Linked DNA regions of Ovis aries. The protein of the gene in region 3 interacts with the protein of the main gene of each other region in a biochemical or structural test. Links are inferred from orthologs where the notes say so. Each region holds a gene or a part of one and is shown on either strand. Other genes may lie near its edges.

What was found.
Region 1: the proteins of PEX19 (region 3) and ABCD3 form a complex in vitro, tested with the Homo sapiens proteins (4 studies listed by BioGRID and IntAct, with this or other methods). The link is inferred for Ovis aries from reciprocal best matches to the Homo sapiens genes PEX19 and ABCD3.
Region 2: the proteins of PEX19 (region 3) and PEX13 form a complex in vitro, tested with the Homo sapiens proteins (2 studies listed by BioGRID and IntAct, with this or other methods). The link is inferred for Ovis aries from reciprocal best matches to the Homo sapiens genes PEX19 and PEX13.
Region 4: the proteins of PEX19 (region 3) and ABCD2 form a complex in vitro, tested with the Homo sapiens proteins (3 studies listed by BioGRID and IntAct, with this or other methods). The link is inferred for Ovis aries from reciprocal best matches to the Homo sapiens genes PEX19 and ABCD2.
Region 5: the proteins of PEX19 (region 3) and ABCD1 form a complex in vitro, tested with the Homo sapiens proteins (3 studies listed by BioGRID and IntAct, with this or other methods). The link is inferred for Ovis aries from reciprocal best matches to the Homo sapiens genes PEX19 and ABCD1.

The regions. Positions count from the first base shown.
Region 1 is NC_056054.1:71,595,158-71,598,671, forward strand, and holds part of ABCD3 (ATP-binding cassette sub-family D member 3), read left to right. Parts: intron 1-553; coding exon 554-623; intron 624-713; coding exon 714-811; intron 812-925; coding exon 926-1,017; intron 1,018-2,629; coding exon 2,630-2,721; intron 2,722-2,807; coding exon 2,808-2,871; intron 2,872-2,974; coding exon 2,975-3,038; intron 3,039-3,514. UniProt on the Homo sapiens protein: Broad substrate specificity ATP-dependent transporter of the ATP-binding cassette (ABC) family that catalyzes the transport of long-chain fatty acids (LCFA)-CoA, dicarboxylic acids-CoA, long-branched-chain fatty acids-CoA and bile acids from the cytosol to the peroxisome lumen for beta-oxydation.
Region 2 is NC_056056.1:62,997,577-63,001,647, reverse strand, and holds the start of PEX13 (peroxisome biogenesis factor 13), read left to right. Parts: upstream 1-1,266; 5' UTR 1,267-1,297; coding exon 1,298-1,389; intron 1,390-4,071. UniProt on the Homo sapiens protein: Component of the PEX13-PEX14 docking complex, a translocon channel that specifically mediates the import of peroxisomal cargo proteins bound to PEX5 receptor.
Region 3 is NC_056054.1:111,303,960-111,307,952, forward strand, and holds the start of PEX19 (peroxisomal biogenesis factor 19), read right to left. Parts: upstream 2,812-3,993; 5' UTR 2,800-2,811; coding exon 2,730-2,799; intron 1,340-2,729; coding exon 1,230-1,339; intron 801-1,229; coding exon 635-800; intron 175-634; coding exon 89-174; intron 1-88. UniProt on the Homo sapiens protein: Necessary for early peroxisomal biogenesis. Acts both as a cytosolic chaperone and as an import receptor for peroxisomal membrane proteins (PMPs).
Region 4 is NC_056056.1:147,840,837-147,845,116, forward strand, and holds the start of ABCD2 (ATP-binding cassette sub-family D member 2), read left to right. Parts: upstream 1-1,474; 5' UTR 1,475-1,687; coding exon 1,688-2,623; intron 2,624-4,089; coding exon 4,090-4,270; intron 4,271-4,280.
Region 5 is NC_056080.1:80,529,324-80,532,415, reverse strand, and holds the end of ABCD1 (ATP-binding cassette sub-family D member 1), read left to right. Parts: intron 1-860; coding exon of another isoform or gene 861-880; exon of another isoform or gene 881-909; coding exon 910-994; intron 995-1,237; coding exon 1,238-1,363; intron 1,364-1,451; coding exon 1,452-1,659; 3' UTR 1,660-2,587; downstream 2,588-3,092. UniProt on the Homo sapiens protein: ATP-dependent transporter of the ATP-binding cassette (ABC) family involved in the transport of very long chain fatty acid (VLCFA)-CoA from the cytosol to the peroxisome lumen.

The DNA.
Region 1 (3,514 bases), about 40 Mb from region 3:
ATGCAGAATAAAATACATTTTTAGATTTGCAAATTTGGGGTAATGCATGCTGAGATTAAAACTACAGACTCAAGCTATGCGGCGTTACATTAGCACTTGGCTCAAATTGAATGTAGTACAAGTCTTAGAGAAAGACCAGGTGTTTCCAACTAAAGCAAAGCATTGAATGCTATTTCCAGACAGCTAGTTTCACCTAAATTATCTTTCTGTTTCTGTTTTTTGTTTTGATTATCAATTTTTGCCTGTATGTATCCGACAGTATTATGAATACAGTATCATTGTACTATTTCATGCAGGGGATACCACACGCATAGTCTTTATGTTTTCCACTCTGTTTGCATAAAAATGGATTCATGAAGGCTTTGTTTGGCACCTGTTCTGTGATCAGCATTGTGCTCAATGAAGTGTGATGTATACTGTAATCAGAAATTATAGGTACTCAGTAAATATTTGTTGAATACATAAATTATACAGTTTCTTTCGTCCTCATGGTAGATTAATTTCCCTTAATACATGGGAAGTGTGTATGTATTTTGTGTTTGCTTTCTGTCAGGTGGAGCACCTGCATAATTTCATCTTGTTTCGGTTCTCTATGGGCTTCATTGACAGCATAATTGCCAAATGTAAGTATGCTTTAAAAGAGATGGTAGAATGGGATTCGTGGGGAAAGTGAGGTGTTGTTGTGGTTTTCAACCTTAACTGTTTGGTTGCAGACCTTGCCACTGTGGTTGGTTACCTAGTCGTCAGTCGTCCTTTCTTAGACTTGTCTCATCCTCGGCATCTTAAGAGCTCACATTCGGAACTTCTGGAGGTAAAGTGGTAATGGCAGTCAGACTCAATTGAACTCTTAAAAATAAAAAATGTGAAAAAAGCTAGTTTTAATCTTCGAAATACAACTGAAAACTAATATTTCTTTCTATTTCAGGATTACTACCAGAGTGGAAGAATGCTTTTGCGAATGTCTCAGGCTCTGGGTCGAATAGTTTTGGCTGGCCGTGAAATGACTCGATTGGCTGGGTAAGTTAAGATTTGTAATACTGAGCAACTGCAGAGAATCTTTTTTTTTTTTTTTAGATGTTATCCTTAATGATTGTGACCAATTGAGGTTGAGATAAGGAGCCCCTGAATCCTCATATTTCCTACTCTTGGAAGCTGGTTTTGATAGAAAATGAGGAAGAGTTTTTTCTGATAGTATACTTTTCATGTTTCCTTAAGATAGCTATTTTAGGTAGCTAGGTTAGTTGTTCTCCAGCTGTCTGCTCTGTGAATACTGGTATTCAATAAGATGGGGAATGTTGAATCATGGCAGTCTTTCCTTAATTTACAGAAAATTAAGTTAGTTAATAAAATTTTTTCATTTGGACTTTTTTGTCCTCTACCAGACTTTTCTTCCCCTTCGCCCTTTGGTACTGGTAATGCATAAGCAAGGATGAAGTTTATTTTAATGGGAAAAAAAAAGAAAAAGTTACCTTGTGGTAGCTCTAAGTCCAGTTGTAAACCTGTCAGGGTGTCTGGTAAAATTATTCTTAGACCATCAAATGGATTAAATATTTCAAAATTTCAAAGTCTAGTATAAAGGGCTTGGTATGGTATTTAAGACAACACATAATGTAAAAAAAAAGCCTTAAGTTTCAGGTTATCTGAAGAAGTTGAATGACTTTGGCTCTTTTCCAGGCCTGTGATTAATTTGCATATCCCTTCTTCTCTACTCCTTTAGCAGTTAAGGCCTTTATGACAAGATAGAAGAGGCTGTAACTCCTGTGAGGAGTCTTTCTTGAGAATGCTGACTTTCTTCCAACTTGTTAATAACTTCCTCAGGCCTTTACATTTCCTGGCATAGAGAATGCTTCCATTCCTTTAGGAAGTTTCTGCTTGTTATTCACAGAACAATTCTGTTTGCTTCTCTGGTTAGAATGCTTTCTCCTCGACCATCATGCCATTCATACTTTTCAACTTCTTGTCAGTAGTTTTGATTTCTCTCTTATCATCACCACAGTGATTTCTCTCTAATATTAAGAACACTTCATCTTTCCCCCTCTTCAGAGGAAGAAGGAGAAGGATCTCCCCAATTCTTCCCTGTTTGCAGGAAAGTAGTGTGCATATGGCATACTTAGAATAAATGATGTCCTCAGAGAGAAAGGCCAGCTTTATCCAAGGCTGTGTAGCCCTCCCAGCAGGGACTCAGGCTTCATGCTTCATCGACCTAAGAAATGCCACTAGCGTGTGTCCTTTTTTAGTATTTACTGGAAAATTCCTTAAAGTTCTAGTGGCAGACAACCTTCTTGACTTGCCTATTAATAAAGTCAGTATCTGTTGCGGTGGGATCCTATGAGACCTCTTTTCTTAGCCCCATCTTCCTGCTCTCCTACTAAACCATAATAGTAAAATGTGTATAGTATCACTAATACTTGTATAATATCATTAATGTTGGTGAGAATTCTTTTAAGTGATTTCATTGAAACTACATAATAAGTTTAGAAACTTAAGTCAGGTTTGTATAAAATAAAATAAAAGAACTTGATGTTACATGTCAATTATATTCAAGTAAATAATAAAAAATAAAAGATATGATAGCCTTTGGAGTTTTGCTTATGGCTTTCTTCGTTTCTTTTTCTTTTTTTAATTCCAGCTTTACTGCTCGGATTACAGAATTAATGCAAGTACTAAAGGATTTAAATCAGGGCAAATATGAACGCACTATGGTCTCACAACAGGAAAAGGGTAAATATGAAGGCACTCAGTCACATACGTTTTTGCTGACATGACTTGATGCTTTAATACTTATTTTTCCATTTAATGTGTTGAAGGAGCACAAGATATTCCCTTGATACCTGGAATTGGAGAAATCATCAATACAGATAACATTATAAAGTATGTACAGATTTGTTAAACTACACAGTAGCCTTTCTCTTTCAGCTACATCTACTTAGTGTTTAATGTCAAACTATTCTCTTTTTATTAATTTCCTCTATAGATTTGATCATGTTCCTTTAGCAACGCCAAATGGAGATATCTTGATTCGAGACCTTAATTTTGAAGTAAGTTTTTACATGGTTGTATAAAAGCTTAAATCATCTTCAAAACGTGAATTGAGAAACTGTTGTCTGAATGTTTAAAAGAATTTTAAGGCTTCACTTAGTCTCTGAATCCACAAAATTGCTTTGAAAAGTAAGCCTTTGTAAAGGAGGACTGCGTTGGAGTAAGGTATTTTAAATTTCCAGTTACAGGATAAATCAGTACTAGGGATGTAATATACAACATGATAAATATAAAAACAATACTGGATGTTGTATGTGAAAGTTGTTAAGAGCAGAAAACCTAAGAGTTCTCATCACACACATACTTTTTTTTTCTGTTTCTTTAATCTGGCATCCGTATGAGATGTTCACTGAACTTACTATGATAATCATTTCATGGTGAATGGGCATCAAATCACTGTGCTGTATACCTTAAACAGTACTGCACGTCAGTGAGATCTCAGTATAATTGGAATAAAAAGTAAAAAGTCTTTGAA
Region 2 (4,071 bases), on a different chromosome or scaffold from region 3:
AGCGCTGAAATGAAAGGATTTCATAAAACATGAGAAATCAGTTATTGTATATTAGATTTATTATCTTTGAACGCAAGCCTTGAGAAATACATCCTGTGCTGTAAGGTTTTCATTGTTGGCTGCCTTCAAGATATTTGCTTTTAGTTTACGTGTGTACACAAAGAACTGGAACATATTGGAACAGAACCTCTTCCCAGGTGTCAGGATCCTTAGAGTCTCTTCTCCACAAACCAGCGGTAACTCGCCCGGTCCCTGGTTTACTAGAGGAGAGGATGAATTTTCTCGTCCTATCTCCGACGATTACAGAAACTATTTATGGCAAAGGAGCAGGAAAATACCCAGGCTGAGTCTCACATCCTGGGATCTTTTAAAACTCATTTCCATACAGAAGGGGGTCATTCGTTTTGTGGGGTGGGGTGTGGATTTTTAAATAAGGAGGTGCTCGTAACTGCATCGCGCTACCGATACGCTCTGCAGTGGAATCTAATTTCTGGAAAGTTCATCCCCAGGTCTAACCTCGAGTCTTCGGCCAACCAAGCAAGCCCTTCTCCCCTTCACTCAGATCCCCAAAACTTCTCACGCACCCCTCCTTGCTATCAAAGCCTCTCCAGAAGGAAGGCAACGATCCCCTCCACCCACACCTCTCCGGCACCCAGTCCGCAACCCCTCACCTCAGACCTCCTAGCCTCACCTTCTCCCAGGACGCCGGAGCCTGAAAGTTAACCCCTTCCAGCCCTCCGAGAGAACGGGGAAGACTAAAGACAACGCACCTATTGAGTCTAGCAATTCTGTTCCCCGAGGAAACAAGAGCTTTAGAACGAAAGTACCAGGTCCCTCACGCGAGGACTGAGAGAACTCTCTCTCCCCTGCATGTTGGCAAGGAAATCAGTCAAGGTGCCTGGCCAGTCGCAACACACCCTGCCTCCTCCCTGCGGGGGGAGAAGTGCGTGGAGCATTACTCCGGGAGGGTGCGGGACTTGTCTCAGGGAAGCCTCCGTGGGACTCCGACGGCTGGGGCAGTGTAGCCGCTGCCGGAAATATCGATGAACTCTTATCCTTGGTTTAAAATGGAAATTCTTTCTAGGACAAATAAAAAGAGAGCATTTCTTCCCATGGATTAGTGGTATAGACCTAGACTGTAATCCCAAGCAGCAAAGCACCACGAGCCACATCCTGACTTCGGGGGCGGTCCGGGTGGAGGGCTCGGCGCTCTGCAAGTTGTGCCTGGCGTTCAAGCGGCCGGTGTCCCGGGGCCTGGAGAGTCCCAGTTCCGAGCGGGAGCTGAGAGGAGGCGGAGATGGCGTCCCAGCCGCCGCCTCCCCCGAAACCCTGGGAGACCCGCCGGATTCCGGGGACCGGGCCGGGACCAGGACCCGGCCCCACTTTCCAGTGAGTGTGCGATTTTTCAAGTCGCAAGTTTTGTGGGCCGCAGCGCGGACTTGGGAGGAGGCGGTTGAGGCCGTTGTTGGTGCTGAGGCGTCCCCTCCCCCTCTCCACCAGCTCCCACCCGTACCCTTCGAGGGTCGAGGTGCAGCCGGGGCGTCTGCAGGGGTCGTTTCGGTGTCAGACAGCTGTTTCTGATTCGGCAGCTCTCGATAGCGACGTTTTCCAGGGGGTTCCTGTGCGCCTGTGTGGCTGTGGGTGCTCGGAAGCGAGGGGCAGGTACCTTTCTCTTTTCAGTGTCCCTTCTCTTTGAGGGACTGCTTGATTCTTTTTCCCCCACCATCTCCACCTTAAAGAGACTTTCGGTCCGTTGTAGGTGAGAGAGACATTTGCCCAGCCCCTCTTATTAGGGAGCAAAGTCTCTAAAGCCTTTAACTATCTCTCGACAAGTTGGTGAAAGCCCAGAAGGTCACTTTTACGCAACTACAACTCAAGCCTGTATTCTGCGTTCTTTTCCAGCATAACCCAGCCTTGTTTCGGATAGAGATTTGTGAAAGCAACTTGAAAAAGGGAGAGTTCAAAACTGAGGCCTAACGGTGGCCTTTGTGTGCTAGATAGCGAGTGATTTTTTTTTTCTAAGGCTTATGGTTTTTTGTTTGATTTTAATCAGTGTTAAATGAATCTACAACTCAAATAAGGTTAAAATAGAATAAAAGAGAATTTCACAGCCTCTGTGATATGTGTTGGGTGGATCTGGACTTCTTTTTAATTTTTTAAAATTTTTTAGTTTTATATTATATTGGAACCCAACTGTTGTGTTAGTTTCAGGTGTACAGCAAAGTGATTCAGTTATACATATACATGTATCCTTTTTCACATTCTTTTCCCATTTAGGTTATTTCAGAATATTAAGCAGCTTGCTCTGTGCTATACAGTAGATCCTTGTTGATTATCTAAATACAGTAGTGTGTAGGTATGAGTCCCAGACTCCCACTCTATTCCTCCCCCACACCCTTCGCCCCCTGGTAACCATAAGTTCCTTCTCTAAGTCTGTGGATCTGGACATCTTAATTCAGATGGTGAGACTGGAATGTCAGATCACCTACTATGGTACGTTTCCTTACAAAGAAATTCTGAACATACTGGAATGAATTTCTGCTATGTTCTGAAATCTTGTTATCTTTTATTAAGATGTTTGAGCACAATTGCTACTTTACTTAATGATGATAGGCACATAAATAATAAGGTTTAATTATGCTGTTAAGCTGGGTGACACATTCTGCTACCTCTTTTTATGAGTGGTTGACTTTCTTTTTTTTTTTTTTTTGGTTGACTTTCTTTAAAAATTTGGACTGCTCTTGGGAAGAGCAAACTTTTATTCTTGCTTCTGGTTAAGTTCTGTTTATGTAAAATTAATCATTTTCCCACTTTTTAAGAAAATGTGAATTGTAATGTGTTAAACATTTAGAGACTGGTAGAGACTAAGATGATAAATACTCATGTATTAACTCCCAGCTTTAAGCAGTTAATAACATTTTGCCAGACTTGCCACAGGTCTTTTACAAAATAAAAATTAGAGTAACGGTTAAACCCTCCCATTCTTCTTTCCTACAGTAACCACTGTCCCTATTTGGTGTTTACTGTGCATAATGTTTTTGTTGGAGGAGGAAATGGCCACCCACTCCAGTATTCTTGCTTAGGAAGTCCCATGGACAGAGAAGCCTGGTGGGCTACAGTCCATGGGGGTCGCAAGAGTCGGACACAACTTAGGAACTAAACCACCACCACCAATGTTTTTATACTTTAGTATTTGGGTTTGTGTGTGCATTACATATGTATGTATGTATTACTATTTAGTATTTTTTTAAACTTTAAATAAATATTATCAAACTGTATGTTATCATTTGCAAAGTGTTTTTCCACTAAGTATTATTTGAACTTTATTTTTTTCATTCATATAAGCTGTACAGGCATACCTGGGAGATAATGCAGATTGGGCTCCAGACCACTGCAATAAGTGGAATATTGCAGTAAAGCAAGTCGCATGAGTGTTTTGATTTCCCAGTGTTATGTTTACACTCTATTGAAGTCTATGCAGTAGCATTTTGTCTAAAGAAATAATGTACATACCTTAAAGATACTTTATTACTAAAAAAAAATTGCAAACTATCATCTGAGCCTTCAACCAGTTGTAATCTTTCTGTTGGTAGAGAGTCTTATCCCCATTGCTGAAGGCTGGAGTGGTTGTGGCATTTTTTTAAAATAAGACAATGGTGAAGTTTGACACATTGGTTGACTCTTCCTTTCTCAAATATGTCTCTGTAGCATGCAGTCCTATTTGATAGCATCTTACCTACAGTAGAACTTCTTTCAAAATTGGAGTAAAGCCTCTCAAACTCTGATGCTGCTTTATCAACTAGATTTACATAATAGACTATATCCTTTGTTGTCATTTCAACAGTCTTCATGTCCTCACCAAGAGTGGATGCCATCTGAAGAAGCCACTTTCTTTGCTTATCCATAAGAAGCAGCTTTTCACACATTGAAGTCTTATCATGAGGTTACAGCAATAAAGTTACATCTTTAGGCTCCACTTTAGTTCTCTTGCTGTTTTCAACACATCTGCAGTTACTTTTTTCACTGAAGTTTTGGGGCTGCTCAAAGACATCCATGAGGATTGGAATCATC
Region 3 (3,993 bases):
ATGACACCCAAGAGAGTCTGTCTTTTGAGGCTCTGCCGGTGAAATCTCTGTGAGTGGGACCCATGTGGTTCCCCATCTTCCCTCTCACCTGAAGGTCAGTGGCATTCTTGGCTAGTCCACTTAACGTCTCCTTTAGGCAAGAGGTGAATTCTTGTTGGGAAGTCGCATCACTGCCTGGGAGAGATGAAAAGAGCCTAGGTCATTTAGGATTTTAACTGCTTGCTTAAGACTGACCTGGTTACCAGCTTGGACATGGAGCATTTACTAGTGAATTGCTACACTCCAAATCTTTGAATACGTTTATCTTCATAGTTATTTTCATAAATCTACATGGACTGTGTCTCAGTTTGTTCTCTACAATGACACCCACATTAACACTGATCTTTAAAATTATCACTTTTCAAAATAAATAAATAAAAATGAAATTATCACTTTTCAATAATCTTTTCTGTTACTTTCCAACCTATCTCACCCCTTTCATTAAACAGGGTCTCCTTTTTCCTTCCATCTCCTCCCCCATCCCATGGCAGTGGTATCATAATTACTGTCAACTTTTACAAAAAATTTTGGTGTTGTCAAGGGACAATAACCCAAGAGGTTTGTTCAGATATTTCGCACTGTTTCTCTTCCTTACCTACTCTCCCAGCAGCCTCTGAAAGCTTTTGGAACTGCTCTACCAGGTGGGGCTCTTCCTCAGCCAACTCTTTCATTGCTTTCTCAAACTCTGCAGTGGCTTGGGAAGCCAGCTCACTGTCAAACAGTTCCTGGAAAAACTTCTCCTGGGAGGCGAAGAGGGCATCCTGCAGGGGAGAATGTGGCCAAAGCGCATCTCTTACTTGGCACCCCAGTGTACATGGTTTCTGACAGAAGCCACAGGCAGTGGCGCTGGGAGGTGCAGTGCTTCCCTCCTACCCACCTCCATTGGGCATTCTGACTACTTCCCTTCATGAGAACAGCAAAAAGGCCATCTGGCCACTAAGGGAAGGCTATGGGCTGGTATTCCCAATCCAACCATTTAAATCTGTTCTTTTCTTAAGGAACTTCCTTGAGATCCCTGTACTCAATCTCAAGTCCCTGTTTCACAAGGACTGAGGCCTGCAAGAGCACTCACCAATGTGAGGCCAAGGCACCCTCCCCGACTCCCCTCTGGCCCACAAAGGCCTGCCCCACCTCTGCTTGGAGCTGCACGCCCACACCCTCCCCATCCCTTAAGTGGGTGGAATTTATACTTTGGCAGTGTCTCCTGGCGATCTCTTCTGGGGCCCTGAAGCATCAGGGGCCGTGGTGGTAGGAGGGGGTGCTGGGGAGGGTTTGGCCTTATCGAAATCATCAAGAGCACCTTCAGAGACAAGAGACACAGTGTATGTGTTGGTGATGGATGAGAATGCAAGGCTAGAGGGGTTTCTGAGCAAAGCATTAAGAAAACAATCTTTCAAGCTGCCAACCTTCCTAAAATGCTCTCCTTTTTTTTGAGTCTCCCTCTCCTGACCCACTCCTCAATAAGCTTCTCCCTCCCCCTCCCCATTACCTAACATACTGTAATCACAGGGGAAGAAGTCTCTTAAGGTGTAAAAAAACATCTCTCAAAGCTGTAAGAGGACAGTTCATCTACACAATGCCTCTTTGCCATACTTTAATGGTTCCTAGAAATCCCATACAGATATTCAAGAGAAACAGAGAACACAGATGTCCTTAACCCCCCTAGAACTCACTCTGGAGCCCTACAAGGAATAATCTTTGGCAAGAGAGCAGAAGCCTTAAGATGTTTCACCCAGCTTCCCATGGGTCCTGGTACAAACTGAGGGACTCCATATTATACTCCACGGGAGGGCCCTGAACTCTCTTTTCTCTTTCAATTTAGGTCTCCCTCCCCAGAGTTGCTAGAGCTCCCTGTGGTCTCATCTCTGCAGACTCACACAGTCACTTAGCACTTCTCACCATTTCTGTTCACCTTTCCGCCTGCCCACTCTGTGACTGAGCAAGAGACAATAAATATTCACCTCGACCCTGAAAAGCCTGTGTTCTCACCACCACTATATTTGCCAGGCCTAGGGGGAAAGACACCAGCCCCACTCTGGACAAGAAACCAAACCAGACAGGAGTGGATGGCAGGGCTGAGGAGGAAAAGTACAGCCACCTTCTTTCCAGAGTGAACTGTCTTCCCCTGAGGCTGTCTCATCCTGTTTTTCAAACTAATGGGAAGGGTTTGAGCTCTGACATGATGAAAGAACTGGAAAGGGGCCTGGTGGATGAAAGGACTGGGAGAAAAAAAGGAGTGTCTTTTCTGTTAAGGAGGGCAGGACAGTTAACAGAAGAACGCACTACAGGCTTCCTAATAGTTAATGGAAGCAATTCGTGGTTGTTCGGTTCGCTGCCCCCTGAGGACCAAATGCTGCTGCTGGTGGGGAGAAAGTCAGACTTCAGAACTTACTAAAGTAAGGGGAGTTTGGAGAGGGAGCGTGAAACGTCCTCTGGGTTAGCTTCCCCTCCGGCAGGGCGATCAACAGTGTGGGCCGTTCAGGGACCCAGAGAGAACTCCTCAACTACCGCTGCAGAGGAAGGAGAGGGTGACCCAGAGATTTTCTCGAGGGTCGCAGTCAGACTCTCCGCCCCCGTCCAGCCTTTGGAGAGCCTTTCTTACTCCGCCCCAAACATCGCAGGTTTACTTAACCCCCTGAATGGATCCTTACATCCGCCCTCTTTGGGGCTTTCCCATGACGGGCTCTTACTTTCCAGAAGCTCTTCCAATTCCCGGTCGGCTTCGGCCCGGACACCACCGTCCCCCTCAGCCGCGGCCATCTTGCCACCTCTGACTTGCCGTAGGAGGTGGGACTCCGAGGCTCCGCGCCCCGCCCCTGTGCCCGCCCCCTCTGCTCGCGCAACCAATGGTATTGTTGGTCCGTGCCGGGCCGCCATTTTTAAAGGGACAGGATGCTCCGATTCCCGCCCCCGCCACCCCTCTTCTTTCTACTGGCACGCTGACCTAACAGAGGTGAGTTTGCTCTTACCTTCTGCCAGGTTTTTTTTTGTTTTTGTTTTTACTGGCCTGGCTTCCTTTCTTTCAACTTCCCACATTACCTGGCTTTCTTATTATTTTTTTCCAGAGCTGTGGGTATGCCAAATTGGCACAAACTGCCCACGAGCCACCAGAAGCTCTGCGTTTGTAATCAATAAGGAAGTTACGGTATACCCAACATGGTAGTTTTCTCTCACTTCAGTATTTTACTCATATGTCATCTTCTCTGAAATGCCTTCTTTGGCCTCACTAAATAAAACTGCAACCCTTCCCACACACATACATATACAAATCCTGCCCACTTTCCCTCCATTTCTCTCAAAACTTACCTCTATGTGACATACTATACGTTTTACTTATTTATCGTTTTTATCTCCCGTTAAGCCCTTTGCAGTTTAAGCACGATGATGGCAAGGATTTTCATCCGTCATCTTCACTGCTGCATCCCTAGCTCCTGGGCTGGGGATTAAAATTTGGGCATTCATTGTCTACTCTTTGCTCTCTCAGATCCTAAAGAGGCATGTTTCTCTGCAGAATCTACTGGCTATCTCACATTTCCTGTACCCCATTAAAACTATCACAGGGCCAAGAACTTAGAACTCGATATTAGTCTAATCAAATCGGGTAGAAAAGCGACTCTTGGACTTTGGATTAAGCAAAAAGGTACTGTAGAGTTCCTTCCCTGAACAGAAAAACATCTACTTGTGCTTTATTGACTACGCCAAAGCCTTTGACTCTGGTTCACAACAAACTGTGGAAAATTCTTCAAGAGATGGGAATACCAGACCACCTGACCTGTCTCCTGAGAAATCTGTATGCAGGTCAAGAAGCAACAGTTAGAACAGGACATGGAACAACAGAGTGGTTCCCAATAGGGAAGGGAATCCACCAAGACTGTATATTGTCATCCTGCTTATTTAACTTATATGCAAAATACATCATGAGAAACACTGGGCTGGATGAAACAGGAGCTGGAA
Region 4 (4,280 bases), on a different chromosome or scaffold from region 3:
GGTTGGGAATATCCCCTGGAGGAGGGCATGGCAACCCACTCCAGTATTCTTGCTTGGAGAATCCCAAGGACAGAGGTGCCTGGCCGGCTGCAGTCCATAGAGTCACATGGAGTTGGACCCAACTGAAGCTACTAAGCACTCATTTTTAGCTCATAAGCTACATAAAAATTGGTGGGACAAATGTGGCCCACTGGTTGGGTTGTAATTTGCCTACTTCCATTCTCATTTAATGGACATCTTCCCAGGATTCCAGTTGACTAGAAATGTTTGTGTGTGTTGTGTGGGGGGCAGGGAGGTCATGAGGGGTGGAGAAGCAAAAATGTTTTTGCATTTTTGAGAATAACTCATCTTTGCCTAAAAAAACATGTCTGTTACATTTTTAAAAATATGCACAATTTTGCTTGTTTACAGTTTAGTCCTCCATTAGAGATGCTGAGAATATTTTTGAACACTTGATTTTTATCAAATAATCAAAATGGAGATGGGAAGTAGATTACCTCTAAACCTAAACAAAACAAACAAAACATAAGCTTACAAAAGACAAGGAACTCTTGCAAAATGAAGTAAAATGGTAGAGAAGCTATTTCTATCATCTAATTACCCTTTGACTCCCAAATGGTTAACTTTTGAATATGAAGGCACATACCTCCAAGTACCAACTCTCTAAAGGACACAGGGGTGGTAGAAGTGAAACACTGCTCTCATTTATTTAATAGTCACTTTGTAAATAATCACCAGTGTATCAGATCTCCATTGTTAAGAAGAGCAGTTATGGCGCTTGAAGATTTTTATTATAAGGACAAGTAAACTTTGGAATGAAGTCACAGCAAAGAATTATTTTCTATTATACTGAAGACTTATCTCCCATTTATTTACAAAACAATAGCCTCATACAACTTGTTTGATAGGTTCTGGGATTTCATGTGAAATCACAGACACTAAAAGGAAAAAAAAAATGGGCGAGGAGAGAGCGCTGAAAAACAGATCCGAATATTTGATACTTTGTTTTTTTCCAGTGCCCCTCCCATATGCTACTTTCTTCTCCCTTTCAGATTCATTCCATACCCTTTATCTGTTGATCCTCTCCTCCGTCATCTCCCCGGTTGCTTCTCCGTCGTTGGAAATCTCCCTTTTTAGCCCTTGGAAATCTCCCTTTCTTTTTGCTCTTCCTTTGTGGTATCTACTAAAACGTTAAAGTGATGTATTTTCTGAAACTTCTGTGGGTTTCTAAGTGACGCTGAGCATGCTCAGTCGCCTAGGCAGGTTTTGTCGCCAGCAGCTGCCCTGATTCGACCTCTCCAAAAATAGACATTTAACTCTCTGAACTGTTTAAGGATATAATTCGTTTTGCTCTCTCTTCATTTTCAAGGTTCAAAGGAAAGCAGCGAGGATTCCAAGGGTCCCTTCGTCCTTACAGCCAATGAGGGGGCTGAGAGGGAGGAGCTTGGGGCTGCTGCGTGCAGCTTGAGCTTCTGAGGGAATCATCCCCAGTAGACGCGGTGGAGCCTGAGCTCTGAAGCATCTGTCACAGAACAAAATTTTTAAAAATAAAAACAATAACAGAAGAGGAGAAACGCTGCAAACTATGGAACGCTGTAAAACTTTCTGAAACATTTGCTGGGAATTCCTGTGGAGCATGATATTTTAAAACCAATTCTTTTTGAAGCCGGTTTGGGTAACTGGGAAAATGATACATATGCTAAATGCAGCAGCTGATCGAGTGAAATGGACCAGATCAAGGGCTGCTAAAAGGGCTGCCTGTGTGGTAGCTGCAGCATATGCTCTGAAAACCCTCTATCCCATCATTGGCAAGCATTTAAAGCAGTCTGGCCACAGGGAGAAAAAAGGCGCTTACTCGGCTGCGGAGAACAGAGAAATACTGCATTGCACCGAGGCCACTTGTAAAAAACCTTCACCTGGAGTGAATGCAGATTTTTTCAAACAGCTACTGGAACTTCGGAAAATTCTCTTTCCAAAACTTGTGACCACTGAAACAGGATGGCTCTGCCTCCACTCGGTAGCTCTAATTTCAAGAACCTTCCTGTCTATTTATGTAGCAGGTTTGGATGGAAAAATTGTGAAAAGCATTGTGGAAAAGAAGCCTCGGACTTTCATCATCAAGTTAATCAAGTGGCTTATGATTGCCATCCCTGCCACCTTTGTCAACAGTGCAATAAGGTACTTGGAGGGCAAATTGGCCTTGGCCTTCAGAACTCGTCTAGTAGACCATGCCTATGAGACCTATTTTGCAAATCAGACTTATTATAAGGTGATCAATATGGATGGGAGGCTGGCAAACCCTGACCAGTCTCTTACTGAGGATATTATGATGTTTGCTCAGTCGGTGGCTCACTTGTACTCCAATTTGACCAAACCTATTTTAGATGTAATCCTGACCTCCTATACACTTATCCAGACTGCTACATCCAGAGGAGCAAGCCCAATTGGGCCCACTGTTTTAGCAGGGCTTGTGGTATATGCCACTGCTAAAGTGTTAAAAGCCTGCTCTCCCAAATTTGGTAAATTGGTGGCTGAAGAAGCTCATAGAAAAGGCTATCTGCGGTACGTGCACTCCAGAATCATAGCCAATGTTGAAGAAATTGCCTTTTACAGAGGACATAAGGTAAGAAAGAAATTAAGATGATGGGTGAAATGTGAGATTGTTCAAACTGCCACTGCAGTGCTGGATACCATCTGTTGTATTGTTTTTGTGCTCAATTCTTTAGCATTTTGGATTCTTATGACATTTAAACCTGTATTAAAATATATGCTTTGCTACCCTTTTTAATCATAAACTGTTAAAGAATTATATGCTAAGTGAAAACTTTTCTAAAGTTTCATGAGAATGAACATGAAACATTTTCACCACTCTAAAAAACTCTACTTATCCAAACATGCTCAGAATTATCTCCAAAGGATTTTCTTAAAACTAAAATCCTAACTAAGTAGATGGTCCTAGAACACTGAAGAAAAATATATGTTTAGAAGCTAAGTAAACATGCTTCCACTGAGATGGAAAATTTAGGATGATATTGTTTATTTTTCAAGAGAAAAAAGTGCTTTCATATAAGAAGACAAGTGTAACAATTTTGCATGACTGGTCAATGATGGAGTTCCTTAGTTCTAAGAAGTATAGGAGAGTGACTTACAAATGGCATTTTCATTGCTTATCATATTTTGAGACAAATAAAAAAAGATAAGGAAATGAACTTTTGCCTAGTTTTGAGGGAAAAGTAAAGATTAGAGATGAAGAAGGAAAAAGGAGTTCCAGAATATTTTTATATATTAAAGATTTTCAACATTTAGCAGGTCCGTAGAACAGTTAACCTAATTACATAAACTTGCAGTGCATTTAAGAATATTAAATATGACAGGAATCTTTAAATCTTAATACAAATGACCTGGCAAATTAAACAGTAAATTATTCTAAAGTTAAAATGGCATTATGATTATGAAGCAGAATTAATTTTCAAAACCATCAATTATTTAAAAAAATTATATGGTAGTACTATTCTGAAGAAGAAAATTTAAAGCAGATTTAGGACTTATATTCCCACTTGAAAATTGGCCTCATACATTGTATAAATCATATTTATTTTGAATCGTTGAACTCAGTGATATAAATTATAACATGCTGTAGGCTTCTTGCATTTAGACATAACATAGTAAACTGAGTGCTCAAAAATGAAGTTAATTACACATATACATGTCATGTGTTTATTTTCACTCATTTTTGGTGTGATCAAGGGCAAGGTTCTAGCTGTTTATTCATATTTTATGGATTATCATTTACTGTTAACATCTTATATAGATAAGGTTGAAACCATAAGTATAAATCACTTGTCTATATTTATATTTAACATTATGTATACTAAATATCAGATATTTTAAAAATAATTTAGATGTGATTACAAGTGAAATAATGGCTAATTCTGACATAATATGTATTTATTGGTTGTTAGAATCAGACATAAGAGTATACTAAGAAAGAGAAAATATGAAATTATCTTTAAAGGAAGTCCTCAAACATACATTATTTATTTTTATAATTCATACTAGGTTAATTCTTATCTCTTTTTCTCTCCATAGGTAGAAATGAACCAACTCCAGAAAAGTTACAAAGCTTTAGCAAATCAGATGAACCTCATTTTATCCAAACGTTTATGGTACATCATGATAGAGCAGTTCTTGATGAAGTATGTTTGGAGCAGCAGTGGACTAATTATGGTGGCTGTACCTATTATCACGGCAACTGGCTTTGCAGATGGTGGTAATGACAT
Region 5 (3,092 bases), on a different chromosome or scaffold from region 3:
AAACCTCCCATCGGGGCAACTTGGGCATTGAAGTGTTTTGTTTTGTTTTTTTTTTGGTGGGTGGCCACATGCCCTACCGAAAGTTCTAGTTCTCTGGAAAGAGAGTGGAGGGAGCAAGCCAGGAGGTGTTTCTCATGAATCACCCACTTCCCTCCTCATCCAAGGAGTTCTCCTGAGCCTTGCTGACATGCTTCACACTGGGACACACAGGCCTCATCCCAGTGGGTGAGAAGGTTTCCAGAGAGACCACCAGAGCCATTCTTGGGGCTCTGCCTTGACTGCTGCCCACTGGCACTTCATTAGCCCCGTTAGGTCCTGTGTGATTTTGCTGGCACCAGAGACTGGGTGGGACAAACAACAGAAACGTATTGTCTCCCAGTCGTGGAGGCTGGATGTCCATGATCCAGGCGTGGGCAAGGTCGGTTCCTCCTGCTGGCCGTGAGGGAGGGTGTCTTCCAGGCCTCTCTCCTGGGATAGGAGAGGCCGTCTGTGCCCTGTGTCTTCACGTCATCTTTCCTTCATGTGTGTTTGCATCTCCAAGTGTCCCCTTTTATAAGGACACAGTCCCATTGGATTAGGACCACCCTCGTGACCTCCCTTTAACTCAACCACTCCTAAGAAGACCCAGTGTCCACATGCGGTGGGTGGCATCCTCAGGGCCTGCAGGTGAGGACTGCCCGGTGTCTATTGGAGGAAATGTGTGTAAATCTGGACCGAGTCCTTTTGGACTAATACAGTGTCCGCAGACGTCCCCAGTGGCCGACCTTTCCCTGCCATATTCTGCTCTCACTTGTGTCTGTATTCCTTTGAGCAACCCCAAGCCTTCCTACCACACCCACCATGCCCGGGTCCTTCTGCAGATGCTGCCCAGCCCTCTTGAACTGAACGTCAACCCTTGTCCTGTGCCAGGTTGGGAGGCCGTGTGCGACTGGAAAGACGTCCTGTCGGGAGGCGAGAAGCAGAGAGTTGGCATGGCCCGCATGTTCTACCACAGGTGAGCTGCCAGCCTCCCAGTCCCGGGTGCTTGGGCTCCCTCGGGCACCGGGAGTTCCCCGAACCTCTTTCCCTGGGACCTCCTAAAGCGGGGAGAGCAGAACTGCTCGGAGGCCTGGCCCCAGCCCTGGGGGCCTGGCAGGACTGGGGGTCAGGCTCCCCGCCTCCACCTGAGGGGCTGGGACCAGCCTGGGGCATTGGCCCCAGAGGCCCACAGCCTCACCCACATGGCCACACCCCCAAGGCCCAAGTACGCTCTCCTGGATGAGTGTACCAGCGCCGTGAGCATCGACGTGGAAGGCAAGATCTTCCAGGCGGCCAAGGACGCAGGCATCGCGCTGCTTTCCATCACCCACCGACCCTCCCTGTGGTAGGTGTGCCCTCCCTTCCCACAGGACTCTGGCCAAGGGTCCTGGCCACCCGCTGAGTGCCTCCTCTGGGTCCCTCTCCTGACGCAGGAAGTACCACACCCACTTGCTGCAGTTCGACGGGGAAGGTGGCTGGAAGTTCGAGAAACTGGACTCGGCTGCCCGCCTGAGCCTGACTGAGGAGAAGCAGCGGCTCGAGCAGCAGCTGGCGGGCATCCCCAAGATGCAGCGGCGCCTCCAGGAGCTCTGCCAGATCCTGGGCCAGGGCCCCGGGGCCAACCAGGGCGCTGCCACTTGACCGAGGGCCCTGGCTCTCTCTTACTTGGCCCTTGGCCCCCCTCCACCCCCACCCCAACCCTCGGATCACGTGAAGGAGACAGAGCGCCTGCGCAACCCAGCCCCATGTCCCCCCACCCCCCGCTGCATGCTTCACCAGCCTCCCAGGCCTCCCAGGGGACCACCCACAAAACCTGTGCCCCCTTCCTGGGGACCTGAGCAAGGGGAAGGGAGAGCAGCCAGAGGCGCACCCTGCTGCCAGCAGCAGCCTGGGCCTTGGAGCCCTGGGGTTTGCCAGGCAGCACCTCCCAAGGCTGTAGCTCATCACTCTTGGCTTTGCAGTCCCTTGGAGACATCATGGTCCATGCCTCTATTGCCATCATCCCAGGGACCCAGCAAGGCTCCCATCCCCTGGGATGCCCTTTTTGCTGTAAAAACAGCCAAGTGAGACCCTCAGAATGAGACACAGCCCCTCATTCGTGGCCCCCCCCCCCGCCACCCGTCATTCTGTAGAATCCACAAGGAAAAGAATTGCACAGCTTTTCCTACCGAGCCATAATAAGAATGTAGCCCCGTCCCTCCCCGCTTCTCCAAGCTAATTTATTGGATTCCTGTTTGTAGACATCTCCATTGCCAGCGGGAGCACCTGGTCAGCCAGCCCCTGGCCCGCCCACCACCCCACCAGCCTACACTGCCGATCACCAGAGTGTGGGTGGGGGAGGGCTGGCCCCAGGGGCGACGGACCCTGGGGCCACCAGGCATGAGGGCACCGTGGTGCCCAGTCTAGTGCCAAAGAGGGGTCAGCAGGGAAGCTGTGTCCACAAAGGCAGCCTCGACCTGAGAGGGAGACCCCCACCGCCGCCATGCCGCCGTGTGCCTTTTGGGCCCTCAGCCCTGGGGTCAGGGAGCCTCCCTGAGTTCCTCAGTAAAGACCTGCCGTGGAAAGTGCACTCTTGCCTCGCAGCCTCTCTGTCCACATGGGGGCTTGGTTGGGGGAGAGGCAGGAGGGGCAGCTGTGGGCCTGAGTGAGGGGCAACCTTGGTGGCCCACCTGCAGCCAAAGATGCTGGCCTGCACGTCCTCTGGACCCAGCTGTGGCAAGGAGGCATCTGTAATATCTCCCGAAAATGATGTTTAAGACCAAAGAGGACCCTGGACCCTGTGCCAGGGAAGAGGAAGGGGCTGAGGCCTGGTCCATGCATGAGAAGCTTCGAGAGAGATACCAAGCAGCGGACTGGTGGGGGACACAGAGGAACAAGAGTCCTGAGCCAGCCAGCCCAAGGGAAGCAGGACATGGCTTCCAGACCTTGTAGGAGTGGGAGACGCTTGTGCCACATGCCAAGCGCAGGGGGAAGGGAGGGGCCAAGGCCTTGCTTAAAGAGCTTAGACTTACTCTGGAAGCAGGTTGGAGATAACATAGGAGCTCTGCTTCAAGAGGCCGAGTGGAGGGAGGCAA